Alligator mississippiensis: one gene and its partner. The protein of the gene in region 2 interacts with the protein of the main gene of each other region in a biochemical or structural test. Links are inferred from orthologs where the notes say so. Each region holds a gene or a part of one and is shown on either strand. Other genes may lie near its edges. The genes, in order: ADRB1 and MAGI2.

What was found.
Region 1: the proteins of MAGI2 (region 2) and ADRB1 interact in a test that uses a peptide from one of them, tested with the Homo sapiens proteins (4 studies listed by IntAct, with this or other methods). The link is inferred for Alligator mississippiensis from reciprocal best matches to the Homo sapiens genes MAGI2 and ADRB1.

What each region holds. Positions count from the first base shown.
Region 1 is NC_081829.1:92,296,612-92,311,854, forward strand, and holds ADRB1 (beta-1 adrenergic receptor), read right to left. Parts: upstream 8,376-15,243; 5' UTR 8,260-8,375; coding exon 6,964-8,259; 3' UTR 5,225-6,963; downstream 1-5,224. UniProt on the Homo sapiens protein: Beta-adrenergic receptors mediate the catecholamine-induced activation of adenylate cyclase through the action of G proteins. This receptor binds epinephrine and norepinephrine with approximately equal affinity.
Region 2 is NC_081827.1:22,066,275-22,081,809, reverse strand, and holds the start of MAGI2 (membrane-associated guanylate kinase, WW and PDZ domain-containing protein 2), read right to left. Parts: upstream 7,698-15,535; 5' UTR 7,479-7,697; coding exon 7,175-7,478; intron 1-7,174. UniProt on the Homo sapiens protein: Seems to act as a scaffold molecule at synaptic junctions by assembling neurotransmitter receptors and cell adhesion proteins. Plays a role in nerve growth factor (NGF)-induced recruitment of RAPGEF2 to late endosomes and neurite outgrowth.

The DNA of each region.
Region 1 (15,243 bases), on a different chromosome or scaffold from region 2:
AAGTCCCTGCCCTTGCCCCCCCAGAAGTACTCCTTCCAGCAAGGGGGCTTGCCATCTCGGAACCAGAAAAATACCAAATTATATTCTAAAAATCAAACGTGTACTACAACATTCATTAATTTCATTTCAAAATATATTGTTGTCCTGATTTACATGTGTGCGTGTAGTGCACATGGAGGTGATAGTATAGCTTAAAATGAAACCCTAAATCCTACTCTTGTATATTGTGGGTTTTGGGGGGAGCCATGTTTGGGGGGAGGGTGGCTGGGGAGGGCTGTGGCTTGGGTGGAGAGGGAGGGTTTGCCCACAGCCCCCCTGCACAGGAGCACCAGAGCTCCTCCAAGCCTGGACACTGCGCTCCTGGCCCCGGGTCACCGGTGCAACCCCATGCTCCTGCTTGCTGCCACTTCCCCCCGGCGCGGGGCCCAAGCTGAGTAGCTGCAGCATGGGACAAACTGGTGCTCAGTGCGGGAGAAAAGTGGCACCCCGCTCTCCCGCTGCTGGTGCTCCACAGTGCAGCTGCTCACAGCCCACGCGAGGCTGCCTATGCCTGCTCTCTGCTGGCAGCGGTGATGCGGTGGAGACACAGGACAGGTCCAGGTGGCTGCACCAGGAAGCGCTGGCCAAAGGGAGGTGGAGGGGCCACTTTTCTCCTGAGCTGAGCACTAGTTTGTTCCATGCCTCCACCACTCAGCCCAGATGGGTGAGCACGGGATCGGGGCTGCGTGCACTTGCCCCACCTGTACCATGGCGCTGGTGCGGGGGGATGGAGCAAGCGAGTGCACAGGAGCCAGTGACAGCCAGGCAGGAGTGCGGGGCCTGTGCTGGTGTCCCAGGGTCAGCACTGGTGAGGCCCAGAGCGGGGCGGCAGGAGTGCAGGGTCCCAGCGGGCAGGGGCTTTATGGAACCCGGCCAGCTCCCCCCTCTCCCTGCTGGCACAGCCCAGCCCAGCCCAGCTCCACAGACCCCTGCCAGCCCATGCCCTGTGCTCCTGCTGCCCTGTTCTGGGTCCTGCAGGTGCTGGCCCCAGGATACCACGCAGGCCCTGCGGGCCCACTTGCTTCCACTCCCTCCTGCTCCCGCGGTGGCTTTCCCAAATTTCCCACCTGCCTGTCACCCACTCTGGCACCATGTGGCTCCCAGTTGCATGGCCAGACCGTGGGGCTCAGCAGGAGCTGGCCTGGCACCAAGGACTGGGGCGATCCCTACGGTCCTAAAATGGCTCCCTGCCTGACTCCTTACCTAAAATTCCTGCTTTGGTGCAGGGAGGTGCGAACAGTCCCACAGTCCCAGACCAGAAGCCTCTGCTAGGCAGGGGCTTCTGGCTGGGGGGGCGGGACCAGGTGGGCCTTGCTGTTGCAGGAACCTGCTAGGGCTTCCCCTGGGTCCTATTGCCCCTGTCTCCTGTCATCTTTGACAGGAGCCAGGGGCAAATAGATATTAATTTTCTAAATTTTTTAGGGGTCCCACGGGCTGGATAGAATGGCCTGGCAGGCTGTATCTGGCCCGTGGGATGTATTTTGCCCACCCCTGGTTTAACCTGAACTGTGACTTTTTAGGAGTGGAACTGAAATAATGTGGAGTGTGTATCTGTCCATGGGAATTTACTTCATTCCAGTTGCTGATGTGACTGCAGAAACTATTTTTAGGTATAATCCTTCAAACAGAACATGTCTCCTCCTTTCTGATTAGTACAAAGCTGGCTGCTAGTCAAAGGATAATTATCTCCCAATACATCACCTAACACAGACCAACAAACAAAACATTCATTATTTTAGTTATACAACATTAACTGTTGTTTAGCAGTTAGCATTTTCCTTGACAGCTTTTAATGGGACTAATTGCTCCAGCTTCATTAGCAAAGGTCACTACTGGTGACAATGGATTTTTCTGAAGCCATTGTTTAGTAACTCTCATAAAAAGATTAGATTATAAGGGCCAAATTCTGGTTTCAGTAGCATTGCAAGAGTGCAACTAAAGACAGAATTTGGCTTGAAGTATGTCTGTACTGTTAGTTCATGGTTGCACAGTTTCCATTCCCGCAACTTGATGTATTACAGAGAGGAAGTACACCGGACCAGATAGGAAATTACAATAAATTAGGAAAGTGTGTATGACAAGGAAGGTTTGCAAAATAGACACTTAAAAAGTTATTAATAAAATTTCAATTTCAGATAAGGCCTGAAAAAAGACCCAAGATAAGGAAGTTGTTCTTATATTTGAAAACACTTACATGCCAGCCAAGAAACCGTTTGCAGAAGAAATAGTGCACTCTATCAAAAAACAAACTACCAGTTTTCTCAAATTCTTTGCGTACTGCATCAAGATCGGTTTGTCAGCATTTTAGGCTGAGTTTCCTATGCAAAATTTAATAGCAATCAATGCCAACAAATGTTTTTTGTTACCAGATCTACATGCAATTCATGAATCACAATTTGGGCATTTTAAAGGAATTTATTTGCCTAAAAATGAAGATATAGAGTGGTATTTTCAAGAATGTACCTAACTCCCATGGATGCCTGGGCACTCTGAAAATATCAGTAGGCACATCTCTGCATCTTTAGGCACCCAAATACCTTTACCAAATACACCTCTCTCTTAAGTTTTCTCCAGGTGGACACAAATTACAGGACGTGATTACCTTAGGCTTTCTACCTGGATAAAGCAGGTACATTTAGATCCATATGTTCAAACTACCTTATCTAATTTTATACTGTGAGACTTATATTTAGGCTCTATGGAGAAGTGATCCAACAAGTGTTGAAATTCCATTTAAGTTAATAGAGATTATAGTGGCTGAAAACCAAGCCCTTTCCTGTTAAGTGCTTAAAGGTTAAACACCGCAGCTGGACACATTGGCCCTAACAGATACGGCATGTATCCCGATAGCAGAGTTTCTGTTCTGCTTGTATTTCCTTTCCCTTCAGATCTTCGTTCTTCTCCGTTACTTTACCTTTCTGTGACAGTGTGTGTGCATGCGTGTATAGCTGCATGTCTACTATTTGTACTGCAGCTCCAATTGTTAATCCCTGTCTGGTTTTCCTCAAAAATATATTCATCAAGGAAGTTTTGACTCAATGCCTGCAGAGAATTTCAGCTGTCCTGTAACTCTTCTTAGAGTATACTTCTTCACTACTAAGAACAGTCTGTACTAAGAAAGAGATCCATAAGGCACTGCTAGCCAATAGTCTCTCCTTCTTTCCACACATGTATGCCATATGTCTTTTTTATCTGTAAGGTTATCATGCTACTGCTTTTTTTTATATTGCACTAAGTTAAACTGGTACTGGCCATTCACACTGCTGGATGGACTATCTTTATTGATTACTGAAGATTTAAATATGTAAACAGCCATCAATATCAAGACCATCCTATTTTTAAAAACCCAGTAAATATATCTATATATAGTCTTTCCATTGGGCCATTTCTGGCTGGCTAAAATGCAACAATAACTGATTAATTTATTCTTGCAGCTGATCCCCCTATAATCAATCAGCAAAGTAGTTTTTTTGGAACTCTACTGCCTTTAATCACACAACAGATGAACATGGTCCCATGCTGTTACTAACAAGAGTCATCTGAACAAGTTTTGGTCCTAAATGTGTCACTGAAGACTCCACTTTAACAAAACATTTCACATGCTTAAATTGGGTGTGTGAGTAGACCCACTGATTTCAATGGGACCATTCACATGCTTAATGTTTGCCTGTGACTTTCTACAAGGAAAGAGGAGCAAATAGTCACTCTACTCTTATCCATCATATGCACACTAAACACACTGCACATAAAATCAACATGGCTATCAGACAGCTGGACTGGACAAATTTTGCCCTTGGTTGTTACACTCTTGCAATTCAGCTGACTTTGCTGGAATTGCAGGGTGTAACTAAAGGCAGAATTAGATCCTGGCTTTTAAAAGTGCATGTCGTTAGAAGACTGATGGAACATGTTTCATTTGGCAACTGCCCTGGCTTCACCTTGGCATTTAGGAAGCCTATTTCACTTCTATTGGAGCAGAAATAATTAACTGTAGTTCAAACCCTAACCCCAGTGCAACCAATGGCAAAACAACCAGTGACTTCAAAGGACCTTTCAATTTGGTTATGTGTAAAAAATGTCTCTATGTTTTTATCCCTAAAATGTAATGTTAAAAACAGAATTAAAAAATCTTCAGCTTTTAAAAATGGAGTAAACTGTTTATTTAAGAGAGAGCTTGGCCTATTTCTTGCAGAACTGACTTTCAGAACTCTTCTCACTGGGACATGATTTCTAACTCAACTATATTGTTGAGTATAATAAAGCTAAAAATGGCTTCACTTTTATTCTGTGCATGACATCAAGGAGGTGTTTTACGATACCCAGCCGTCTGGCTTTTTGGTGCTTTATATGCCATGACAAGTTGCAGTCATGAAAAATTCTCTGAATCTATCATAATAAAACATACCTTCATGACAATAATGGGAGACAGTATTGTCACGGAGTTCTACATTCAGGATTTGCATTAAGGATTAGAGTCTGCCACCCATGCCCTCTCGGCACTTCATCATGGTTTGTTTGGAGTCCACGGGGGTACCTGTGTCAGCAGGGCACTGCACAGTGTGTGAGGGTAACAGGATCCAGCCCTAAAGGAATCTATAGCTAGGGAAAATATTGCTGCCGAGTGCCATATTGCTTTTCTCGCTATATAATTAGTTCTTTAATCTATAGATATGTGACTGGGGTTTTGTGCGGAACTGATACGCAGTGTGAAAAACACTTTACAGGGCCTGATCTTGCACCCATTAAAGTCAATGACAACTGCCTTTGGCTTTAATTGATATCAAGAAATGAAGGGATCAAATATGTAGTGCTATTTTCTGAAGACACTTTTTTCAGTAATGTAGAATGAAAGCCTGGCATATTTTTTCAAGGGATCACAAACTTCTTATTACATCTCCCGATACAGGGCATAATCTCCCTTTTACTGAAATCAGCGTAGATTCCCAATGATTTCGGTGGGAAAGAGCTGGCTTCGCTGAATATGGACTTCAAGCTCTGTCTGCATCCAGTGAAGTTATTTTAAGAGTATCATTGATTTCACCATGAGAGAGCCACTGCATAATCTATTAGCAACAGTTTTCAGTTTTCAAATCCAATACAAAACCATTTTATTCTATTTTTCAATAATAAATCCCCTGACTCCTGGTCTACTAATACAACAAAAAGATCAGGAGAGCCAACAGGCTAAAGAAAATGACTATGTTTATTATCAGGCTGGAAACACCTTGTCTTTGGCCATTAATTTTTGAGGGAAGTCGGCAGCCCTTAACGCAACAGAAAACACAACCTTATTTGGTCTAGAACACTTTTTTTTAAACAATATTTTGTCAGGGAAAGCCATTAGGTGGGAGAGTATTGGTAATTTGATCCATATTTTGAGAAAAACAAAACTCTGTTCTTTCCATTATAGCTGGGTACTGTTTCAGAACCTATAGAGACACGCTGTACATATATGCTTGTTTGTGCTGCAATGTTATTTATTGCACATAGACCAATTACTTACACAGTAGTAAATTGCACCAGAGTATAAATACCTTATAAAACACACACAGGAGGAAAATGGAAATGACACGCAAGTGCTAAAATAACAGCAGATTCACGTGGGCACTTGGACATAAAATATTAAAATAATAATAAAAGACCCTTAAGATATTTTAATTTATAATACGGATGCATTTACAGTACCTTGATAAAATAATATAAAAAGTCACTCTCTCAATAGAAATGTAACATATTAGACAAGAGCAGAAAGAATTTTTTTCAGGTTTGATGATATTTGAACCCCCGTTTTATTTTTAATTTTTTTTTGTGCAAGGAACATCTTCAATTAATTTTACGATTCTTAACACTGTGCAAAAATGGCTCTGTTGCCATTTTTTTTATGTGCAGTAAATTTTTTTTGTTGCCAGGATTTATTTATTTTTTTACTGTTCATCTTCAATTACAATGAACAAATTGCAGAAGGCTCACTGCCTCTTTTTAGAAAATAATAATATCAATACATAAATAAGCTGTTTAATATAAACATGTCTTTTTATTCCCCTGTACAATATGCACAGTTTGAGGTAGAAAGTTTCCCAGCCTGATTGGTATTGTCTGGCAAGAGAAGATAAGCATAAGAAGTCAACCGGTTGCTGATGCAGAAGATAAAAATCAGAAAAGCTCTGTTCAAAATACAAGTATATCAATATTCTTCATTAGTTAATTTTTTTCCCTTCATCTTTACTTTAAAAAACAGGGGAACGCAGCTACCTGAAGTTTAAAATAAAACTTGCCAGATGACAGACACACTTTTATAAAGGACTGTTAAGCCTGATTTGCAAAAAGTGCTGATCACCTGCAGTTCCCACTAACTTCAACAGGGCTGTGTGCAGGCAGCACTTGTTAAAATCAGACTGCTTTTTTACCTGTGTGTGAAACAAGAACTGCAGCCACCAAGAGTAGGGGCAGGGAGAGTTTATAGTCCTCAGCTTGAAAGCAAGGTTAAATACAGCGTGATCCTGGCTACAGTGAAGTCAGTGGCTAAACTCCCAATACTTCAGGATCGGGCTCTACTGCAAGTGCAGCTCTTAGAGCAGCTTAACTGAGTAAAGGATATTTTCTTATTCCCTTTCAAAATGCCTGTTGCCACCTAACTCCCTGTTAGAAAATTTAAAAAAAATGAGCTTGAGACAGCTTTCAATTTCCTTTGTTCAGTGGTCAGCGGCTTCCTCTAACATCAGATGAGGTATGTTGCATACAAGTTCACCTGCTTTTAGTCTTAAGTAAACACAGATTTTCTCCCCAGTGAGACAGAGATTGGTTTTGTTTGGTGTTTGTTTGCTTAACCAGACTCCTGATATTTTTTTCCTCTCACTTATTCCCTGGCTGGCTTTCTTCGTGCTCAGTGTCCAGGGTGTCCCCCAGTGCCACCTCCCACCGTCCTTATACCTTGGATTCCGAATAGGAGGTTTTGCTATTCCTCTCCTCCAGGCTGGAGTCGCTGCCTCCCTGCGTACCCCCATTGCAGTCGGACCACATCCCTCCTAGGCTGCGCTCGGGGGTGCCCAAAGTATTGATGAAACTCCCTGGGAACCGGGAGAGCTCCTCACCGCTGGCGTGCAGCCTCCTGTCGGCTTTCCTGGGGCAGCAAAGCAGCCTCTTGAAAGCCTTGCGGAAGTCAGGGCTGCGACAGTAGATGATGGGGTTGAAAGCAGAGTTGGCATATCCCAGCCAGTTGAAGAAGACAAAGAGCTGGTCTGGCACCAGGTCCCTGTTGAAGACGTTGACCACGTTGACCAGGAAGAAAGGAAGCCAGCACAGAGTGAAGATTCCCATGATGATACCCAAGGTCTTGAGGGCTTTCTGCTCCCTCATGGCCATGATCCGGGAGCTCTTCCTCTTGCTGGCCCTGCCGTTGCCCAGAATGGGCTGGTGGTGAGCGTGGCCCTGGGCAGGAGGCTGGTGGTGGTGGTTGTTGTGGAACCTACCCTCGCATCGGTCGATCTTCTTGATCTGCTCCTTGGCCTCTCTGTACACCCTGATGTAGACAAAGATCATGATGAGCAGAGGGATGTAGAAGGAGATGATGGAGGAGGCGATGGCGTAGGCCCTGTTGGTGACGAAGTCGCAGCAGCCGGGGTCCTGGTAGCAATCCAGAGCCTGGGGATCCTCATCCCGCCACCAGTGCATCATGATGGGCAGGAAGGAGACCAGAGCGGAGATGCCCCAGACGGTGCAGATGATGCCCTTGGCCCGACCCTTGGTCATGAGGCTCTGGTAGCGGAAGGGCCAGGTGATGGCCAGGTAGCGGTCGATGGCGATGACGCACAGGGTCTCGATGCTGGCCGTCACGCACAGCACGTCCAGCGAGGTCCAGCACTCGCACAGGAAGGAGCCCCAGACCCAGCGGCCCTGCACCACCTGCGTGGCCCCGAAGGGCACCACCAGCAAGCCCATCACCAGGTCGGCGCAGGCCAGCGAGGTGATGAACAGGTTGGTCAGCGTCTGCAGCCGCTGCGTGCGCCGGATGGCCGCGATCACCAGCACGTTGCCCGCCACGATCAGCAGCACCACCAGCACCATCAGCAGGCCCATGCCCGCCGTCCACTGCTGCGACAGCAGCTCGTGCCGGCCGCCGGGCGAGGACGGCGGCGGGGAGACGCTGCCGGGGGGCGCGGGCGGCGGCGAGCCGGACCTGTTGTGCGGCTGGCAGTCCGGGGGCAGCCAGCCATCGCCCATGCTGTCCGCTCAGGGCAGCCGCGCCGGGGGCATGAAGACCAGCCGGGGCGCCCGCCCTGCAGCAGCCGCAGCCGGAGCCGGAGCCGGAGCCGGAGCGGAGCGGCCGCCGCGGCCGGGCTGCAGCATGGTTGTGCGCTCCCGCGGCTCCCGCGCCGCGACACCCCCGCGCCGCGCGTCACTGCTCGGCGGCCAATGGGCGCGCGGCGCGGACACACCCCCGCGGCGCCCGCACGTGGGCGGCCCCCTGCCACCGCACCCGTCGTGGGGGGGGGGGATTGCGCGGGGCGCGGGGCGCGGGCGGTGTCTTGTCTGAGACCCGCCAGATTTGTGCAAATAAAATAAAATAAACTAAAATAAAAAAGTTCTTAATTGCAATGCTTCCGGCCACAAACGCCCTTCTTGGGGGTGAGGGAGCGGAGGGCCGGCGTCCTGGGGGCTCCCCGCTCGCTTGCCGAGGGCCCAGGGCAGCTGCTGGCATCACTGCCCCGAAACGCTGCGCCGGGTTCGCGCTCTTCTCCTCTGTAGGTCTTAGGCTGTGCGGACGTGAGCAGGTAAAGCCCGTTTTAGCGTTTAATTTCCGAGCCCGGAAAGCCCATTCTGGTGTTTAATGCCTGCTGGAAGAGCGCACACTTCCTCAGCCGGACAAAGGGTTTTTAAACCCGAAAGCTTGCTAAGAAATTGTTGTTCCAACTACTGAGTTGGTCTAATGGAAGGTAACTGGTTTTACCCGAAGAGCCTTGTCTGCCTGCTGGGTACCTTGAGGATGGAGACGCCTGTGACGTGGCCAGCCTTATTGGGCCAGAAAGTAACATTCTGTGCTAAAAACAGAGCGCCTTTCGTCTTCCTCGAAGAGTTGCATTTGTTTCCTTGCCGAGACGCAAGGAGGAGAAGGGAGGGAGAAGTTCTCCCGCCGGAGACAGATGTATCAAGGGGGCTTCAGGCCTGCCCCAGCCCTGCTGCTCGGCAGGGAGAAGTGACCAAGAGGCAGCAGGCGCCGCCGCTCTCACCGCAGCCCGCGGGGATGGGGCAGGGGATCTCGCTGCATGTGCTGGATTTAAAACCTTAGCACTGGAAGCCAGCAACAGTTGCCATGGCCTGTAGGCAATATTGACAACTGTGCAAGTGTACGCTGCCCGGTGGGGGATGGATCCGTGCTTCCCAAGCCCTGCGTATCTCCCCATCACAAGTCCTGTTTGTTCTGGCTTCCCCGGGGGTTCCAGATTCAGCCACTGTGTCATTCCTAAGGCTGGGAGTCAGAGGACTTGGCTTCTGTTGCTGGCTTTGCTTGGGACAAATCTTTCTGTGCCTGTTATCCCAGCCGTAATGTGCAGCTCAGAACTTTTACCCGCCCCGGCCAAACCCCATCGATAGCTACAGACGTTTGAGGTGCAACGTTATCATTTGTTAATAACCATAAAAAGTTTCCGTGTGCAGTAAATGTGTTGCTCCGGTGACAGCATAGCTGCATAAGAGACTGTACAAGGATTGCAGCCCTTTGCACAGCTACATCCACTGAAACGGCTTAAAACACATGGGCTTGACTCTTATTTACATGTGCAGCCCTTCACGCTGCTCTGTTATCAGGTGTGGCCTTAGATGGATGTAAGGCTTATTTACTCTTACTTTAAATTGCCTTTGTACTGGCAAAGAGAAATGAAAATGAGTTCTCTCCCCTTTACTTTTTAGTATCACAGGATTACATCCATGCCTGGGGCTTACATCAATACCCCATCTCATACTAGCTGGGAGCAATAAGAGGGAATCCTTTTTTCCCACATATATTTATTCTGCAAAGGCTGTGTCATTGTTCCGGTTTGACCTTACCATTCCCTGCCAGGTTCAGACTCGGTATACAAGGTTGCAACCCCGGAGTGAATTATGTGTTTATTTACATACTGTTTGTTTAACCCTGATTACAGGCTCCATCAGTTTGGACCTGCTGCTTAAACTATTCCCTAGTGAACTTTGCTTCATTACTTGATCTTTTCCAGTCTGAGCCAGTGGGATAGAACGATCGAGGCAAACAGAAGATGCGAGACACCCACTGTATGACCATCCCACAGCACACAAATGTCTGAAGTCATGCAGGAGCTTTCTCATCAGCGCCCACACTCTCGATGCCACACTCAGTAAGACACAACTACAGATGTGGAACGAGAGGCTGAAGAAAATAGCTGACAATGAAAAAATGTACACTCCAGCAGCTAAGTCCTTACCATCGGGGGCTGATGAACAGTGGCAAAGGTGGCGATGTCTCAACTGCCTACGTACCAGAGTCGCATGTTCCCAGGAACTAATGAAGAAGTGAGGCTATAACATTGGTTCGACCACCTGTAACTGTCACAGAGCTTCAGACTAGGCAATGCCTGCTGTAATGCCCACTGCTTGAAGGCACATGTGCAATGAAAGAGCTTGCAAAGTACAATAAACAAGCACAAGCATGTGTAAAAAAATGGTTAAATGTGATGTAGAGACATGAGAAGAAGAAGTCTGAGCCTAGAGAGCTCAGCCCTCCAATGCATGAAGTGACTCTCTTGGACAGGGAGAGGTGGATGCTCCTCACCTTGAAGAACTATGTGAACACTGCTAGGTGTGGATTGTGGCTGAACCAACTAAGGAAAGGGTCTGACGATATTTGTCAGGAGGTTGTCAGTCAATCCTCAGCTGTGATCCCCGCAGGAACAGGAATCCATCCTTTCTGTCAGTCCTGAGTCTCTACCAGAAGGAACCAACACAGAGCTAGATAAGAGTGGACTTCTACAGTGAACTACTATAAATGTGACTTGCAAAAGATTTTGTTATTAGACAATTTATCCTACAGCTAAGCCTTGGTTGCCCGCACAAGCCAGGACAGAGAGGTATTCAACATATCAGGTATATCATTTTAGGGGCTTCCTGAAGTCCTGCTGGCTGGATCTTCTCAAAAAATGGAGACATCTGAAGATCGTGGATAGTTTAGAAAATCCAACCTTTAGTGACTTGCCCAAGATCACACAGGCAGTTGTGAGGGGTACAAATCATGCCTTTGGACACTTTTCCTGCATTTCCATCCATCTGTCATCCCCAGGGTATTTTTACTGAATTAAGGTCTTTACCTAATAAAATTAACATGGGATTGTAACCCCTTGATTGTCTCTCTGTCTTTGAAGAAGCTTTGAAGTTTAAGGGCCAGAGAAGTTAAGTGAATTGCCCAAGGCTACATAATTAATCAGAAGGCCTAGAATAATTTTCCTGTCACAACAGGCGTAATTCTGCAACGTCATGTCAGAGCTGGAACCAGCCTGACTTTGGGGTTGTCTAAAAAGGAAGAACCAAAGGTTAGCTGAAGAATTTATCTGCTGAGCATCCCTGTGTGCATGCAGCTGATAACTGTAGGGTTAACTCATCTTCCAAACGACACCTCTGCAGATCACCTTTAACTCTAAGTTTCCTGATTTTTGTGCATTTGAATGTGGTTTTGCTAGCACCTCTTTGTGTGCAAATTATTTAAGGATGTCAGGTCAAGAGGAGTGAGTTCCAAAGTCTGAAATGGATTGTTTCTGCCTGTGCTCCAGGTCACATTTTTTATTGAAGCAGTAATCTATTTTTTCCTGGAAGTCATTGTTTTTTTTTAACAAGAAGCTTCAATACTAATTAGAATAGATTGGTTATCCAACACACCCACAGAGGATAACAGATGGACCCAGAAGGAATTCCAAATCGTACTGCACTGGAGAGGCTGAGTTGAAACAAACTTCAGAGCTGGAATGTGTCAGGGACTGCAAGGGCTTCTGTGTAGGGTTTTAGACCCAGATCCTTTGCGCTGCTCTATACAGAGTCCCACAGACTTCAAGGGGGCTTTGAGCAGGCACATGACTACCACACAGACAGCGGCTTGCAGCATCAGGGCTTTGTTGTGTACAGGTGTGTATCATAATGCTGACTGCTCAACAAGTAAAACAAATAGGAAGGCAGAACTGAGGGAGAAGAAGGGGCTGAAGTACGGGTGTGGTATTTGCATCGGCACAGAGAGAAGCAATGCTAAGGGAGTGCAAAAAGATGCTGAATATTAGATTCAAGTTCGCACTGCGTGAGTTTGCATGATACACACCATGGAGGTGGGCAGGAGCAGATCCTCTTTATTGGCTTGATCCTGAACCTATTAAAACCAGTAAAAGTTTTAGCTCAGTGATGGCAGGATTAGTCCTGACAATCTGTGGCTTTTAGTGGATTTACCTAAGAAAAGGCTTGGAGTGACTAGGTTGTGGGACTTTGAGTGACTTGCTGGGTGTTGTTGTCAGATTTCCCAGTGTATTAAGTAATGTGTTTCCAACCCAGCTGGCTGCAGGAGCTCTCTCTGGCTGCCCGTTGGTGCCGGGTTTCCAGCTCTCCCTCAGACCTCAGCACATTAATTGATTCGTTCTTTCCCCTGCTAAACAGCCTGTGAGGATGGTCTGGTAGGTCTAGCTTCTAAAGTTAATACCCTCAGCTAGTACCTATGTCAGTATGCACAGCTACCTAAGTGTCTTTTCAGTGGGAAGAGAGACAGATTGCCTTTTCATCTAGCCAGACCTCTGTTGTCCCTTCTCTGTTCCTGAATTTGTAGCCCTGCTTATCCAAACCAGTTCTCCAGATCATGCAGGATCCAGAACTGTCGGAGCCAATGGCTCTCCCAGAGTCCCATAACAGCCCTTAAGAATAACAGTGTCCTCCTTTCAAGGAGGGCTGAAATTCCCACCTGCCAGTCTTTCTCTAGCCATGAACAAAATTTCAGTACTTGTGGGTACAGCTGGTCAGAACATTTTGACATAATGAACTTTTGTCTAAACACATGGTTTTGTGGAAGCCGAACAAAGATTTTGCTGGGGAAGTTTTTTTTAGGGCTGTCCTGACATTTCTGAATGGCGGCAGAGAAAGAAAAAGAGAGTGAGAGACAAAGAGAAAAAAAAAGGAGAGAGAAAGAGACAGACAGACGGACCAAACTTAAAAAGATAGCTCAGGTTTTTATAGAAAAAAAAAGATTCTTCAGCAAAATTACTTTTGTGGACATATTCTAAAGGTTTAATTGTGAATCCTTTAAAGTTGTCACAGAATGAAATTATTATCTGCTGGACAGCTCTACCCCCAAGGAAATCACAAGACTTGGTAATGATGGACCTGATTCAAGTCTTCTCAGTGGCTGTGTCTACACAAGATGCTGGATGTACAGTTGCAGTATATAAACAAGTACTAAACGACTGTGTAGTAACCAGAGTTACTGTGCAGTCACACCAAGGAATGACTTTTTTGTGATGATGACTGTGCATCATGCTTCCTGCCACATGATGCTACTGCACAGTTAGTGTCTCGTGTAGACGCAGCCAGTTACACCAGGTTTCCAACAGTGTATCTCTATTGGTTTGTATAGATTTGCTCCTGGCTTCTCTGCTGCAAGTGAGCACAAAATCACGAGAAATATGTTTAGGTCTGTGCACTTCCCTATTGAAAAGATAATGATATATTAGATGAGGTTCAGAGAAGATCAATATCAACTATTAAAGGGAACTTGGGATTAATATATGAGAAGAGACAAGGAGACTATTTTAACTAAGCAATGACCTTGTAATTCCCTAATGTATAAATATGTGAAGCATAAAAAAAAAATACCAAGGAGTGGGTGGGAAAGGAATTATTTAGAATAGACGAATTATACCAAGAGACCTAATGAGAGATAATGTGATGAAAAGGAAAGTTCAGTATGATTATCAGAAACAGTTTCCTGAAGGTCAAATCTATTAGATTGCCAAGAAAGCAGTAGAATTCTCTTTGCTCAGACCAGGGGTCAGCAACCCCCGGCACGTGTGCTGAGTGCAGCACACAAGGCCATTTTGCTCGGCATGCCACCACCAGCCTGGGCTCTAGGCAGCTGCTGCCAGCCACAAAGCCCAGGATGCTCCCAGCAAGTGGCTGGGTGGCTGCAAGCCCTGCTGTGATTGGCAGCAGCTACCCAGAGCCTGGGCCGGCTGCATTTGGGAGGCTGCAAACATCTGCTCTGGGCTCCGGCATTAGCTCCACACCAGTGGCCCAGGAGCCCAGCTCCGCGTGCCCGTGCATCTGCCTCTGTCTGGTCCTGTGCATCTGTGTGTGCACACACGTGTCTGGTTCTGGATGTGTGTGTGCATGTGTCTGCTATGGGTGTGTTCTGGTTCTCTGTGTTTGTGCACATGGTTCTCTGCGTGCGTGTGTGTGTATCTGGTTCTCTGCTCTCCTTTCTCTCTCGCTCTCTCTCCTCTTTGCCTTATTTGTCTCTTTTTTCTCTCTCATTGCAACATGCTCAACAAAAAAGGAATACACAACAACAAAGGCAACATTTATGATTATTAAATATACTAATATGCGGTGCGTCCTGCCATGTACACCCCCCACCCTCATTTTGTTTTTCTGGCATGTCAGCACTCTGGTACCTTCCAAGGTAGACATCGTGGGGTTTTTTGCACTCTGGCCAAAAACATTGCCTACCCCTGGATTAGACCTTTATATTTAGGTTTGAGAAAACCCTAATAAATGCATATAAGCTCCAATGTCTGTAGGATGGACTACTTGAATATTTACCATCTCTTATATATATCATCCCATCTTGTCTCATCATCCCATCCCACCCCTTGGTAACTAGTAACTTAAATACCTTTCACTTTGTTCATTCTCCAGGAAAACTGACCACTGTGAGCTTTGTAAATGGATAAACAACTAATTTTAAAGTAGTGAGAATCACAAGAAAGTACACAGGAACAGTTTAAGCCAAGCCCACATGCTAATGTACAGTAGATTTGAGTAGAATGATTTCACTTCTCCACCTGGGGCTGTCTATGCCCCATGATGTCCTGCCTGAATAGCACAATCAAGGCTTTAGTAATTTTGTATTTTAACATATATATTTTGCACAGTGGACCCAATCATGCATTCACTGGGATCAGTAGTAAAACTCCAGCTGTTATCAGGAAGTCTAGGATGTCATTTTAGGCAGAG
Region 2 (15,535 bases):
GCTATTGTCCCTGGGCAGAGAGAGGTGGCTAGCCGTGTTAATCTGAAGTCAGGCAGGTGCATTTCTACCCTGCCGTCTATGCCTGCTGGTAACTGGGAGGATCTGATGAGGTATAGACGATTCTACACACATGCCCTTTTTTTTTTTATTCTTCCTCTAAAGCAGGGAACGTGGCTCGGAAAACAATAAGATCTGCAGGCTGGATCCAGCTCACAAAACCTCTCTACCCAGCCTGCCAGGCCACTGGAAGTTGGAGATCATGACCTGCCACAGAATTCAAGACCCTTCAGCCCCACTGGTCAGCAGTGGCATGGCTCACCACCATGGCTTCCCCTCAAACTCTCTGCCCCTGCTGGACCCCCAGACACCTTGCACCCCAGGACTCCTGCTGAAGCCAGATCCCTTGCGCATAGAGGCATAGTGAGCTCCTTCAGTGGCTGGGGCAGGCTGTGGGGAGGGAAGTATGCAGACCACCAGAGAGCAGTGGCAGGGAAGAGGGCAGAGTTTTACCTGCCCCTGCTCTCTGCACTCAGGCCGCTGCAGTAATAAGATGGACTTGGGCTGATTCCTCTAGGGAACAAACTCACTGCATACCAGCTGCACCAGCCCCAGTGTGGGTTCCTGGAAGCTGCCCCCAATGCCCTGTTCACTCCCCCTCCCTGCCCACATATGCTACTGGGTCCAGGGCTGCAACTACCATGACAAAGACTCCCTCTCCTGGGGGAGATGCAATTCTGCTTGCCCCCCTGCCCCCAGTTACATTACTGGGAAAGTGGCTGTGCCTGCCTGGCTCCTATGGCTATGCAGCATGGGGCTATTCCTGCCATAGAAACACTTCCTGGGATGGAGAGGGGTGCAATGCAGGAGCCCCCTCTAAGAAGGTGCCCAAGACTGGTGCTCTGCTTAATCAAACTAGTTATGCTACTGCCTCCTGTCACCAGCAGATCCCTGATCTCAGACCCACTGCTACCTCTGGACCCACTGCCACCACCTCAGAACCCACCTTTGCTATATCCTTTGCCACAGCTACCAGTCGCCACTGCTGCGGTGGCCACAGAAGCTTCCCCATACCTCAGGCTCAATCCAGCCCACAAGGATCCCAATGGCTCCAATCTGGCCTCAGGCCTGGGTGAGTTTGAAATCCCTTCTCTAAAGTATCTGCTACTTCCTGGTATTAGAGATAGGTCTATTTGTTACACGGTGATAGTGGGCCTAGGTCCCCCAGGAACAACCCCCACTTAGTGGTTAAAGAGAAGTTACTAAATGTATAACAATTAAATTCTTGGTATAAAGGATGATGAAGCAAGAACAGGAGTGCAGGTTGCAGGTTAATAACTATGATGTCAAGGGAGCAGAGAACTCCAGCTTGCAGACACTGCTCCTTAAACATATCTAAGGAGACTGTGGATATTGTCCAGTGAAACTCTGTCCAGAGATATGCACAGACATGGAAAAACAAGACAGTCCTACAGTCACCCGTGTTCCCCCCTACCAGCACCTCCTTCCTGGTCTGTTAGATAAGATATCCTGACCACAGCCAAGAGGAGAATGAGCTGGAACTTTGTGGGGCCATGGATGGGGTGCACATAAAATAAAAGATGTCGGGAAAAGTGCAGCCAGAACCCCAATAAGAGGGTCTTGCAGAGCCAGCACAGGTCTGGGGCTGGTACACTCAAGTTTAGCATGAACCAGGTGGATCTTTGGTCTCACTTAATACAGCAGACAAAGACATAAAAAAATCTGACCTTTTCTATTACATATAATAGCTTTTAACAACTAAAGCCATGATTTAGAAAGTATTCAAAACATACTTAAGTCCATCCCTCATAAGCAAAGCACTTTGGCCCTGTGTAGATGAAATGAGAGGCATGTGTGCACAACACTTTAAAGAGTGCTAAATGCTTTTGCACCGCTTTAATGTTGTTGGTGGTTGCATGCCTTGGTGTCATATTGCACATTAATTCTAGCCGCTGTAGGAAATTCGATGGCATAATGCGCCTTAAATGACTTGGGGCACAGCAAATTAAAACTCCTTTGAGGAGTTTTAGTTTGCTGCCCTACAGCCGTGGAGCAAAGCAGCAGGCTCCATGCAGCTGCACGGCTCTGCAGGAAGGCCTGCAGGCAGCCTGGCAGCAGCCCGGGAAAGCAGCTTCACCCAAGAAAAGTGGCGAGTCTGATCTTTTCTTTCCCACCCCCCCTGGAGCCTGTCTGCCTGCCTGAGCTGCGTGGCGGCCTGGTGTTTCCCTCTGCAGCTATGATGCCCCCTGGGACATCCCAAGCTGGATGCCTGCAGGGAGGTGCCACCTGGCAGGGGAGCACTGCTGCCACCGTGGGAAGCACCAACCCTTCCCATCCCCGCCACAGCGCAGGGACCACTCTGCCTGTTGGCAGCTCACTCTCCCCTCCACACTGGACAGGCAGGTAAGTCAGCAGGGTGCATGTAGGACATGGGGGTTTGATCAGCCCTAAGTTGAAGCGGTGTTTTTTAAAACCCACTGCTTCAATTTAGGGCCCCTGTTTCATCTCCACATGCCCTTTAACACATACTCAACTTTATGCAGGTGATTAAGTCCGAACTACAACTAGATTTTAAGCTGTATTTTAACTATCAATATGTTAGTTAAGGAGCAAAATGGAAGACAAAAAAAATTCATGCCTGTATTAAGCACCGAATGTACTCATTTAATAAAAGCCCAGGTTTAACCAATTAATCGTTTAACTGATAAGCCCAGTGATAACTGGTTATAGCCTATTGTTATCGTTTAGCATGGGGAAGGGTGCAAAGCCACATAGTGCCCCAGCAGGAACTGGAAGGTGGCAGCGCAGGCGGGAGGAAGGGAGGAGCGAGGAGAAGGGTAGAAGAGACTAGACCAACAGCTAGGCTCTGTGGAGGAGCCTGTCATGAGCAACCTGGGCTCTGGGCAGGCCCCTGCCACCCACCATGGAGCCCAGCAGGCAGCAAGGAGGCTGCAAATGGCTGCTCCGGGGTCTATGGAGCCTAGCTACTGGAGGGGGGTTGCTGTATCAATTAATCATTTTACTGTTGTAATTACAACAGGTTAAACAGATATTTTTTTAAATCAGTATTTATGCCCATTGTGTGTGTGTGTGTATTTATTTATATATATAGAAATACATATTTTTGCAAAATAAGTCCCTGTGGTAGGTTCCCTCAGCATGTTTGCCCAATATGGGCCATGTACTTTACAGTCATGCTCAGTGTTGGCTGCATGTAATCAACTTCATAGTTGGTTTCCATTACTGAGCACATGCTGCTTTTAGACGCAGTTCACGGATAACCGATACATTTAATGCAGTTTCCTTGTATGCAAATGTAAGACAAGGGTCGGGGGAGGGGAGGCTCATCTTGTATTCGAATAAATATGTTATTTTAAATTGCATCTATGTGCCTAGGAATAATTCATTAGCAAGGCCACACTTCATATACATAAACAGTCAAGTTCAAGAAGCAGCGTTTCTTATTTTCTTGTAAAATACTAGGATTATTCCACACATGACAGTCACTCTAGAATCAACATCAAAGAGTCACCTGTCGGACTAGCATGGCAAAGGCAGTTTCAGTAGCCAATGGCACACAAGGAAACGATGTGCCCAGCATGACATCCAGCTACCTTTGACTTCCCAGCCCAAATAGCCCGGTACCCACTTACAAGTGGATAAACTGTGGGTGGCCTTTAGCATGAGTACACAGCCAAAAGCCACATCCAGTTGACCCAGCTGTTAGAAGTTTGTAATTCAGAACAATTACAATATACTGAATTAATAGTTCTGTTACAATTCAAAATCCTTCCTCTGAAAGAAAATTATCTAAAAAATCTATGGGACATTAATCCTATCATAGCCTGTTCTTTTCCTACTGATATGAATGGGAGTTTCGCCATTCACTTAAGTGAAGCCAGGATTTTACTGAATATATTTTTAATGGAATTGCTGTGGTTCTTCTATCAAAGTCATAATGGGGGGAGGGGCTTCCACAAAAAGCAGCCTCCAAGAAATGCTTACAGTACAGATTGTTAATAGGATTAATCATGATGGTAGCTATTACACTAAAGTATTCCTTATGTTATTTCTACTATATCAAGCCCAGACAGTAATGAGGTACATTACAATCCTTACGAATTGAGTACCACCCCTCTTTATTCAATATAACATCCCATGACTGCTCACTGGTTTCCCATGACTGGTCTGCTGATGATATGTAGCGACTGTGAATGAATGTGACCATGTCTTTTGTGTTAACACTTGATTCCCAGCTTGTATAGTAGTAAAATATCTTTGGTCTTTTTGGACCAAAAGTATTTAATCTCATAATGCGATAAAAGCTTGGCTTTTTAAATATTTCAGAACTGGGTGTATCACAGTAAGCACAACACAGAATCATAGAAAAGCAAGACTGGAAGGGACTGTAGGAGATCATCTAGTCCAGCCCCTTCCACCTACTCCCCACTCATGGAAGGATACTGTCTGCTCAAAGCAGGATAGCAAGAAGAGGTCATTCACTGTAAATCAGTACAGTATTGCTGCCTTTCTGTAATTTCAAGAAAAAAAGGTAAGCTACTTCTTGTCAAACTGAATTAGCCACATATTGATGTAATCCAACAGTGAATTTTGATTGCTGAATTATGAAAACTTTCAAACAACAGAAATGCTCCAAGACACGTAAGTATTATATTAAAAATAGGAAGCTCTACCCTCATATCCCTCACTCTGATTTCACTCTAAGACAGCACTTACTCTGAAAGAGAAGCCAGAGTCACATGGTCCATTCAAGGTCATGCGATTTTAATTAAATGTGTGCAGTGAAAAATTTAGAGAGTTACCATTGATAAATTATGCAGAAATTATGATAATGGTCTCATTAACCTTGTTCCAGCACACTAAAAGTGTTTTATAATTAAAAGAGAACAAAATTATAAAAATATATAAGGAATGTTATTGTCCATCTTTTTTTCTCAGTATACTGTTGAAAAATACTGTTGGAAAAAGTAATCTTTTAATTGAAAGCAATCTTAATATATAATGCTCATGCTCTTTAACCAAGAAGTACTGATATTAAACCAAATTGCATTGCATGGTATAATATAGACAACAAGGACCGTTTTAGTAAAGAGGCCAAAACTTGTAAGTCACTCCGTTTGGCAGAACTGTCTGATAAAGAGGATGGTATAGAACAGGGAATGACCTTGGAGAAAGATTTCCAACTGGAAAGTCACTCTTAGACCAGGGATCTGGGTAGGCAGTTGAAACTTCAAAGCATATGAAGTTATCCATCTTGTGTGTATAGGAGTCACTCCTAAATGTAGCACATGGATAGACTGCAGCGAAACTCTCAATGAGCACAATCGATCTAGAACCCAGAACTCAGCTTCTGTATCCCAAGAAACTGGAGCCCCGACTAATGTCCCCAGCTCATGTATTGAGAGAGACAGTTATAAATGGCACACAAACTAGTAGCTTGCTTATGGCCATTTCAACCCCCCCTCCCCCCCCACAAAGTTTTAAGAACAGAAAACTGTTTCATATTCTCTTATGAAACATTAACTGAAAGCAAATGAACACTGAAATGAATACAGAGAATTGTTCCTATTCTGTAAAGAAGGAGACAACAGTATTTTCAGTCAGGGGGAAAAAAAAACCAAAAACATGTTTACTTACACCATTATCTTTTTGACCCTTAGCATCATTGAGAAATACTCCCCCCTTCCTGAAATCACTACAAACCAGTCAAGATAAACCCAAGTCACATTAAGCAGCTGAAACAGTGTGGCAGGTTTGCCAGCATTCAGGTGCCCAGAGCTGACCATATGCACTTTAACAAGGGAGAAGTGATTCAGCTCTTTTCCCATTCTGATCTTCACTGACTGCATAAAATATTACATCACCGTACTTCTGTCCATCAAGACGTGACCTATTGCTTTGCTGTACTCTTCAGCTAACCCATGTGCTAATGTAACGTACCAATTAACAAATCCCAGAGCAGGTCAACTGTTTGGAGATACGAGTTCATAGAGGTAACTGAAGATACTAGTAGGTCCTGACTCACATGAGGAGTCTTTCCATTGCCTTTAGGAGCCACTTTAGTGAGCCCAGGGATCTGCATAGCTTTTCATAACTCAAAGATTTCATGGAAACCATTGTAAAAAAATAAGCTAGTGATTAGAAGGATAAGGCTGGGTATATTGGAGAAATCTCTAGGCATCCACTGGAGCTCTCAGTAATGCCTCCAAAGGCATATCTGTTAGAATACAAATGTCCTTTGACATAGTACGAGGCATCTTTCCACTACAGTATTAATACAGATTTGAAATGCCCCATGTTAAAAATATACAGAGGCTAGGACCAGACATTACATTTGTCCCAGGACCTGTGTTTGTCCCAGGACATAAATTTTCTGAGCCTGGTATGCCCACACATTGCCTTTCCAAGCAGGATTTAGCCAGCCACTGGAAGCATCGCCGCTGTTCTGCCATCAGTTAAAGGAAGCAGTCTCTGGACAACCATTCAGACACTTCACAATGTGGCAGGACAAACTTCTTCTCCTCCGAACCTTTCTTAGGCTTTGACCTCAGATGACAGGCACAAACTCCCGAACGGTCACACTTTGTCCGGGGAGAAGATAGCTTCTCTGGGGACGACCGCGAGGTCTGTTTGGAGCCAGCATCAAATCTTTGCTCCTCAAGCCAGCCCACAAGAGCTTCTCCAGCTGCAGGAGCCTTCCCTGTGACACCTCTCACATGAAGATGTGTGTGTGTGTGGGGGGGGGGGGGTCCATTACATCCACACCCGCACACCCCAGGACCACCACCCCCCTCCCAATACGCACATCTTTTCCCAACTCTTGGAGTTGGTCTAAATAAAAGACATCACATTTACCCCTTGTCTGCTGGCATCTGAACACTATAGTGTTGTGGCTGGGAAATGCTGCCATGCCTTGCTTCAACACGCAGGGCTTTCTCTAAACTTGCTGGGTGGTGTGTGTGTGCCTGTGAGTGAGTGTGGGTGTGTGTGTGTGTGTGTGTGCGCCCGCGTGAGTGAGAGTCTGTGTGAGAGTGCGCGGAGCGGGGCGGCAGCCCAGGGGGGCTCCTGCATCCTCTCCCCCATCCCTCCCTCAGCCGGGCGAGCCGAAGTTTGTCCCCGCGTCGGCCCCGCGTACCTTGCTTGACACACTTGAGGCGCAGCGGGTCCTTGCAGTGCTTGATGACGGCCAGCACGTCCCGCAGCGTGAGCCCGGCCACGGGGGTCTCGTTGACCTCCAGCAGCAGCTCCTCGGGCACCAGGCGGCTGCCGCCGCCCTCGTAGGCCACCTGGCCCGGCCGCACGTCGCCCAGGTAGGGGAACTGCCCGTTCTCGGCGCCGCCGCGCAGCTCGAAGCCCAGCTGCCCCTCGGGGCTCCTGCCCAGCACGATCTCGTGCACGCGGCTGGTCCAGTGGCTTTTCTTCTTCAAGCCCTTGGACATGGCAGTGCGGGGCGCGGGGCAGGGGCGACCCTGCGGGCTGCAGCCTCCCTCCCGGCCGGCCGGGGCTCGGCTCAGCGGCTGCCCATGGCCGCGGGGCGCAGCCGGAGCAGGAGGAGGGATGCCCGGGCGCTGCGCTGCAGCCTGACCCGGTAGTGAAGACGGAGAGGGAGGCTGGCTGGCTGGCGAGGCGCGGGGAAGGCGGGGAGCGCCGGGCGGGGAGGGGAGGCGCACATCGCCGCTGCCCCGCGGCTCCGGGCCGCCCCCCGCGGGGAGCCGCGCCGCCCTGCCCGGCCCGCCCGCCCGCCCCGGGGACCCGGCCCTGCCCCGCGCCGCGCCGCGCCGCGCCGCGCCCGACCCCCTGCGCCGCGCACCGAAGCCTGCGGGGTGGGAGCCGCTGCCGAGTCCGTCGTGTCCCTGGCAGGCGTGAAGCTGAGCTCTTTTATTAAAATACTTGCAAACGTTTTTTCCTAGCAAGCTTTCGGGTTTAAAAAGCCTTCGTGGGGCTGATGGGCACTGGCTACACGTGCGCCCCCTGAGCTTGGCGGGACACCCCCAAGCCACCCCCTCCCCAGGCGTCAACACTGCCGCCCGCGTCTGTGGGCAGTCCCTGATTGCCACTGGTCCCTGCTGCTGGTGCCACAAGCCACCCCCAGCCCTTCGCCACTGACACCGCCAGTGGTATCTGTGGGCAGTGCCCAATCGCCGCTGGCTGCCACCAACACTGCTGGTGCCACAAGCCACCCCCAGCCCCTTGCCCCAGACACCACCGGTGTCATCTGTGGGCAGTCCCTGATCACCGCTAATGGTGTCTGTGGCTGGTGGCCAACTGCTGGTCAGCGCTCGTCCTCCCCCAACCCCACCGCCAACACCACCACGGCTGCCTGTGGGAGCTCCCTGCTTGCCCCGCTTGCCCCGCCACCGACAGCACTGTGGATGCCTGCAGGAGCTTGCCGACGATGACATGCCCCTGCCACCGATGCCTGCAGGCGGTCACTGTGCCCCCCCAGCCTGCAGAGGCACGCGTTGTTTGTGAGGCGGAGGAAGCATCTGCAGTTGGTGTGTGCGCTCTTCCTTCATGGAATTAATGCCTGTGAGAAGGTTGAGGCTCTTACTCCTCTCCCGCCACCCCATGGGCAGGAAAGACAGAGGCCAGGGCAGGCTCTCAGCAGCCAAAGTCAAGGGCAAAAAGGGGACGGGGCAGTGGAGAAGCTGCCTCCTGCAGCAGTCCTGTCTCCTGTGGCTTGCTGGTCTATATAGTCCCATGTCCTTATTCTCAGCAGCCTGCCCCTGGGGGAATGGGGGTAGTGGGAGCCTGGCCCGAGGGGTTGGGGTGTCATTGTGGAGGCCTGGGGTCAGTTCCCTGCTTTGCTGCAGGATTCCTGGGGCAAGTCCCCATGGGGATTCTTGAAGGCTCAGATCAAATGTAGTCTACGCTTGCCTGGCAAGGGAAACACCATGAGAGGCAGTCTTCCTAGCGGCACCGGGGAAGACCGCTCTCCTGGCACAGGGATAGTACCGGCCAAGGTAATGTATAGTAAACCTCTCACTTAGCTACTGGAGTGGGAAGGTCTTGGTTTTAAGCCCACTTTATGGAAATGGGAGACTCCTCCCTGGCTTGCCCCTGGGGCCTTACAGCTGAGGGCAAACAAAACTTGGGAGCATCCGAACCCCAAGCCTCTGCGCTTGGGCCTGCAAGTAGGATGCCTGCTGAATGTTTGGAAACATCTGAAGCCCCAGATGGGGGTGGAGGATATTTGCCGGTAGTTTGTCTGGATTGGATTTGGAATTTATTTTGGCTAAATTGGCTTAGTATATGGAAAATTAAAAAAAAAAAAAAAAAAAGTCCCTGTGGGGATTCCTTACTTACACACTTAGAGTCACAGAAAAGGAGGTTTGGAAAGGACCTCAGGAGGTCATAATACAGAACATGAAAGGCCTCAGTCCTGGTGTGTTTCTCACGGGCAGACTCCTGTATCCATGGGATTCTGCATGAATGCAGGGATGCTGCTATCCAAGGTGTAATTACTGCGGGTGCTGGCATACCTGAGCTAACTTTAGCTGGGTAGGATATGAATAGCAATATAGCCGTAGCATTTAGTTAGGATTATACCATGGCATTTTGTCAGACTGGGCTTTGTAGCCTACCCTGAATCCCATGCTGTCATAGCTACGGCATTTTTAGTGCTAGAGCCAGCTGGTTTCAAGCTATCTTAGATATGTGGACATGGACTTCAGTCACTTTTAGGTTACAGTAGAGAGACCATTAGTGCTTGGTAAAATGGGGATAATATCCATCTAGAAAGTTGCACACTGAGGATAGATGTATTAAAGACTGGGCTGCTCAAATAGTTCTGTAACGGAAGCCATACAGATCTAATGGATGGGATGCTCTGAGGGATCCATGAATGGACTGGTAGATGCAGTTACGAAACAGGAAAGTTTAGGTCTAGGCAAGTAAGAAAAAACGTGACAACTATGAATTCATCTATTACTGTTAATTAACATTGGATCCCTATTAATGGATGCAAAGAGAAATATTGTGAATATGTATAGAGCCCTGGGTTGATGACCTGCTCAGTGGTTGGTTAGTGTGACCACAGAGGATCTGATGCTTGCCTCTCACCTGAGTAAAGGTGGCTCATGAGTGATTAGGAGAATGAGGGGATGGGCTGCAAATTTGAGAAGAACAAGGAGAACTAAACAAGGAGAATTGAGAAGAACAAGGAGAAAAATAGGGAAATGAACAGCTGATGAATCCAGATTCACTAGCACCTATCTGTTTTTCGGCACCCACCAGCAACTCTCTGGATGGCCCAAGTTGCCCATCACTGTCTGATCCTGATCTCCCTAACTATTAAAAAACTGTTTGTTTTGGCACCAAACCCTAGCTAATTAAGTTTGGTTATTCCAATATCTCCTTCTCCACAGCTAACAGAATTTCCTCATATGTAAATGTAGAAGCCCATTCCTCCCGTTTATAATCTCTTATAGTAAAATTCCAGCTTCTGAAGAGCTGGGTTTTCTCTGAGAGGGAGCCTTACCAAAGATTAGCAGGAAAACATTTAGGGAGGATTATCTGCCGGCCGAGCCTATCAAAGGAACGGGGAGGGGATCTCGGAATGCATCTACAGGGACATGATTATGTGCAGAATATATGAATGAAAATTAGGGGGAGAACAGGTGTGTAGAATAATTCATGTACTGCTTAGAACTGATAATATACATGTATATTTTTAATATGAATGAAAAATAAACATTTTTCATTGAAATTGTTCACAAAACATTGTTGCCTTTTTTGTCCCACTCCATTGTAGCAACAGGTTGGAGTATGTGAAGTAAAAGGAAGCCCAGAATGACAAGCAAAGACAAAGCTCTGACTCTAAGTTGTTTCCTGCAGACGAAGCCATCCTGATTTTAATGGGACTCCATGTGGGTGCAGAGGTTTGCTTCCAAGGAGCATTATGCAGGATTGGGAGCAAAGTAAGGCCAAGTACAAAGATAAAATGGAAGCATAGAAAACTGGAATAGAAACCCACAGAGAAGATAATGACATTGGATTTGGAGTCTGCCTGATTAAAAGAGCACTAAAAGCTGAGAGATTTTCACAAATAGGGCAGAAAATACAGCAATAGCCTGCTTTCCAATAGACTTCAGTGGGAGTTTCAGGTATTCATATCCTGTGAAATTCAGGCCATAAAACAGGCTAGCACTGAGAAAAGGCAGTAAAAGGGACAGGAGATAAATAGGTTTTCTTTTTCCTGCCCCATCCCTGTATTTTGTTTCCTACCTTGGCATGAAAGTTGTAAGGAAGGGAAAGGAGGTGGAGGGGCTGAGAACAAGTAAGACTATGTCATTCTTTATGTCACCCTCTTTTACACACACCTTGTTGAGTCATCTGCCCTACAAAAATCTTCTGATAGTCTTCAGCTTCTGATAATTAAGAATTAACTTATAAATAACATAATTGTCACTGGAAGACATACAACTGAAAGATTCCAGGGCTACAGTTCATTAAAAGAATTGTTCCTGGAAAAATAGCCTCTTATTGACCATTAGAAACACTTCTACGAGATGAGAAAGGGAGCCTCATTTTATTTTCCAAGTCCGTAAGGCCCTCAATTGCTTTAATTTAGCCCTGTTTATCAGTATTATTCAAGGTTTCCAGTACTAGTTAAAATTAGGCTGACATTAATCATAGGAAACTATTATGCTAAATATCCCGTGGTACAAAATCCTACTTAAGAGAGTCTGTAGTTTAAAGTGTTTCTATTTTAAAACATATCAGCAGCAAAATGAATCTGCATGAGAAGTTCATTTGTAACAGGTACAGTGCCGTAGATGACTATAGTCTAACTTCTGACAGATGGATAGTTGCTAAGCAAGTAGTGTCCAGAGTGGGGTTGGACGTAGGTTACAATACCTTTCCCGTTGTGGGGGAGCAATGTATTGTTCAGCCCACATTGTATTACTCAGTTCTTTATCCCTGCAGAGTAAGCATTGGTTATAGGAAAGGGGGTCCAGTAATCTCCACAGTAGTGTCTTGACACAAAGGCTCTTTACCAATCTGTATAGCAGGAAGAAACAGGCTGTACATAGATTTGAAAGAATGGATAATGTCAAGTGGAATTCACATCATACCACCAGCTGAACATGTTAAGATCATGGTGGAAGTGCATGTGTTATAATCCAAACAGGAGAGTATTATTCTTCTATAGCAGGGGGATCTCTCTGGAGAATTGGTCTCTACGAGTAGGTTCGTGATGGGTTACCCCTGGTATCATAGCCTTACTCTGCACAACTACATAAGAAGGAGTTGCTCTGCCAGGGAGCAGGAAAGTAAGGATAAATCCAGAGATGCGCAGCCAGTTTTGTCTCTCTATCGCAGGGGTTGGCAACGTAAGGCCCACCGACTGATTATGGCCCATGGAGCTGCTGGATCCAGCCTGAGAAACTAGACGGCTTTGCTTGTGGCCACACCTGTGCCTACCCCAGGGCTGGCCAGCTTCCAGCTATGCCCATGCCACTGCCACTTCTCCCTGCCCTCCCAGCTCTGGTCTGAAGCGGGCCAGGGGGTTTCAGCAGCAGCATGTTAGTGGGAGGGGGCTTTGCCTGTGCCCGCACTGGGGCCAGGCAGGTGGGAGCTGCTTCTGCACTGCTGCCACTTCCCTCAGCTGCAGTTTAGGGACAGCTTCCAGCCAGTATGGAGCTATGTCACAGCTGGGCAGCTGCAAACTTCATCTGCATTGCTGCCACTTCCCCCTTCCTGCCACAGCTGTGTCATGGGTGCATCTTCAAGCTGGTGGGGAACTGCGCTGGGGCTGGGCATCTTTCAGCTGTGCCTGCACTACTACAAAGTGGAGGAATAGGGGGAGTGCGGAGAAGCAGTGGACACCGTTTGCAGATGCCTGGTCCCAGTGAAACTCCCCACTGACTAGAACCTGCTCCTGTGCCTGCAGCCAAGGAGCAGGGAGCTGGGAGAAGCATCTTGGAGTCCTAGTGGTCTCCAAGATGAACATGAGTCGTCAGTGTGACGAAACCATCAGAAAAGCCAATGGCACTTTATCATGCATCAGCAGATGCATGACGAATAGGTCCAAGGAGGTGATACTTCCCTTCTATTGGGCGCTAGTCAGACCGCAGTTGGAGTACTACGTGCAATTCTGGGCACCGCACTTCAAGAGGGATTCGGATAACCTGGAGAGGGTCCAGAGAAGGGCCACTTGTATGGTTAAGGGCCTGCAGACCAAGCCCCATGAGGAGAGACTAGAGAACCTGGACCTTTTCAGCCTCCGCAAGAGAAGGTTGAGAGGCGACCTTGTGGCTGCCTATAAGTTCATCACGGGGGCACAGAAGGGAATTGGTGAGGTTTTATTCACCAAGGCGCCCCCGGGGGTTACAAGAAACAATGGCCACAAGCTAGCAGAGAGCAGATTTAGATTGGACATTAGGAAGAACTTCTTCACAGTTAGCGTGGCCAAGGTCTGGAACGGGCTCCCAAGGGAGGTGGTGCTCTCCCCTACCCTAGGGGTCTTCAAGAGGAGGTTAGATAAGTATCTAGCTGGGGTCATCTAGACCCAGCACTCTTTCCTGCTTATGCAGGGGGTCAGACTCGATGATCTATTGAGGTCCCTTCCAACCCTAACATCTATGAATCTATGAATGCTGACACAGCTCCCAGCTGCCTGGCTCTGATATGAGTGCTGGGAAAGACCTCTGATAATGATGCGAGTTAAAGCCACCCAGCCTGCATTGGACCAGAGCTGGGTTGTTCCAGCTTATGACATGTAAAAGGTTACCAGGCTCTGCTCCAAACCCCACAAGATTGAGGAGAAGTCAGCAGAGAGAAACTCAAAGAGATTTTCCTATTAAACCATTCCATTGGGTTTTCCCAGAGGATGGTATGACCACGTCCTGTAGTACAGCAAGACTGCTTTTCATATAGGCTTTCATACAAATGCAAGAAACAAATACAAACACAGAAGGAAGCATATTTAGCAAGCAAAACACAGTTGCAATTTATCATCAGCAAGAGTCTGAGCCTGCAATTACAAAAATGTATATGTATAATAAGCCCATAAGTAAGGGATCATAGGACTGGAGCTTTAGTAATTAAAAATGGGCTTGACACCTGGCAAATTATTTCATTCCTCCTGTCCCATCATGGATTTCATAAAAGGGAACCAAAGGTCAACCTTTTGGGGGGATCTAAATCTTTTGATAGATATTTTTTTCCATCCCCACGTGCTGCCAAACGTTGCTATATTATTAGGCTTCTGGATTAATCTAATTGGCAAAATGCTTCTGTATTGGAAGATGTATTCTCCCTGCAAAAGGAAGGAATACTATCAAGCAACACTTAGGTACGTAGCAGTGAAATCCCATTATGTTGTAAAGAAGGATAGATGTGTGATAAGACATTGGACTTGTAGTCAGATTCAGTTTGGTCTCTTCTGCACCTAAATGAGAACAAGTAGCGCCAGGGGTAAGGCTTAGTGATCATGCCTCTGTAGCCCACTGATAAGTGCAACTGCCTGGGAGTGGGGGGCCCTGTGTTCTGGCATCTCCTGCCTGCATTACACTTTCAAAAGACATTAATTGGCAAGAAGGAGTAACCCTGACAACAGGGGCTGGAACCCAGGGCTTCTTTTCCCAGATAGTGCTATAACCATGAAGCTCTTGTTCACTCTTCTTCTGGCCCCTTTATACTTGCACTCCAGGCTGCCCAGGAGAATGGAGGCAGCCCTCACCTACACCCTTCTTCAGCACGGTGGTTGTGGCACTGTCCTGCTCAATGGAGCTTAGGTGCATTGAGAAACGAGGTCTCCCAATTCCTGCACGAGGGCTCCAATCATAAGGGCCTTGGACAAAGTGGGCATCACCACCACCAGGATGAGCCTATCCTCAATAGTGGGACTAGGTATTGTGAAGTGCAAGTGAAATGAGGTGCCCAGTTTGCAGCATGAGTCAGAAGCCTAAACTCCTGAGAGGGGCTGGAGTTCAGTTACACCTTTGTCCTGAATTTTTCCTCAAGATGCCTCCTGAATTCCCTTATGGAGACACCTACCCCTGTCTGCTCTCTGTGTAGGGAACCTATGCACCTAGGCCTGAATTGCTTTATAGCGGTGCTTCCCCTGGCTGCATATGCCTCACAGTTAAATTGAGCTGCCCACCTGGGCAAGACATCCAAGTACAAAAGAACTTGGATCATTTTCATCTTGGTGGTTCACAAGCCACTTAATTTTCAGTGACATGCAGAATTAAAAACAAGCCATTCAGTTGTTTGCTGCAGTTTTTCCTTCAAAGGGTGCCATTTCTCTGATCAGAGCAGCTCATGACTCCTGTGCAGCAAACTGTCCTGACTTGGTATACCCCCAGATACTTCAGAAACGCTCATCTCCATAACAAGGTTAAGGAACCTACTATATAAGCATCTACTGAACCTATTTAAATCTGGCCCTAGGACTCAGGAGATCTGGTGTGGGTTCCCTTCTCTTCCACAGACTTCCTGTAGACAAGTGTTTTAGGTTCTTTCAGCCTCATTCACCTTATGTAGGAAG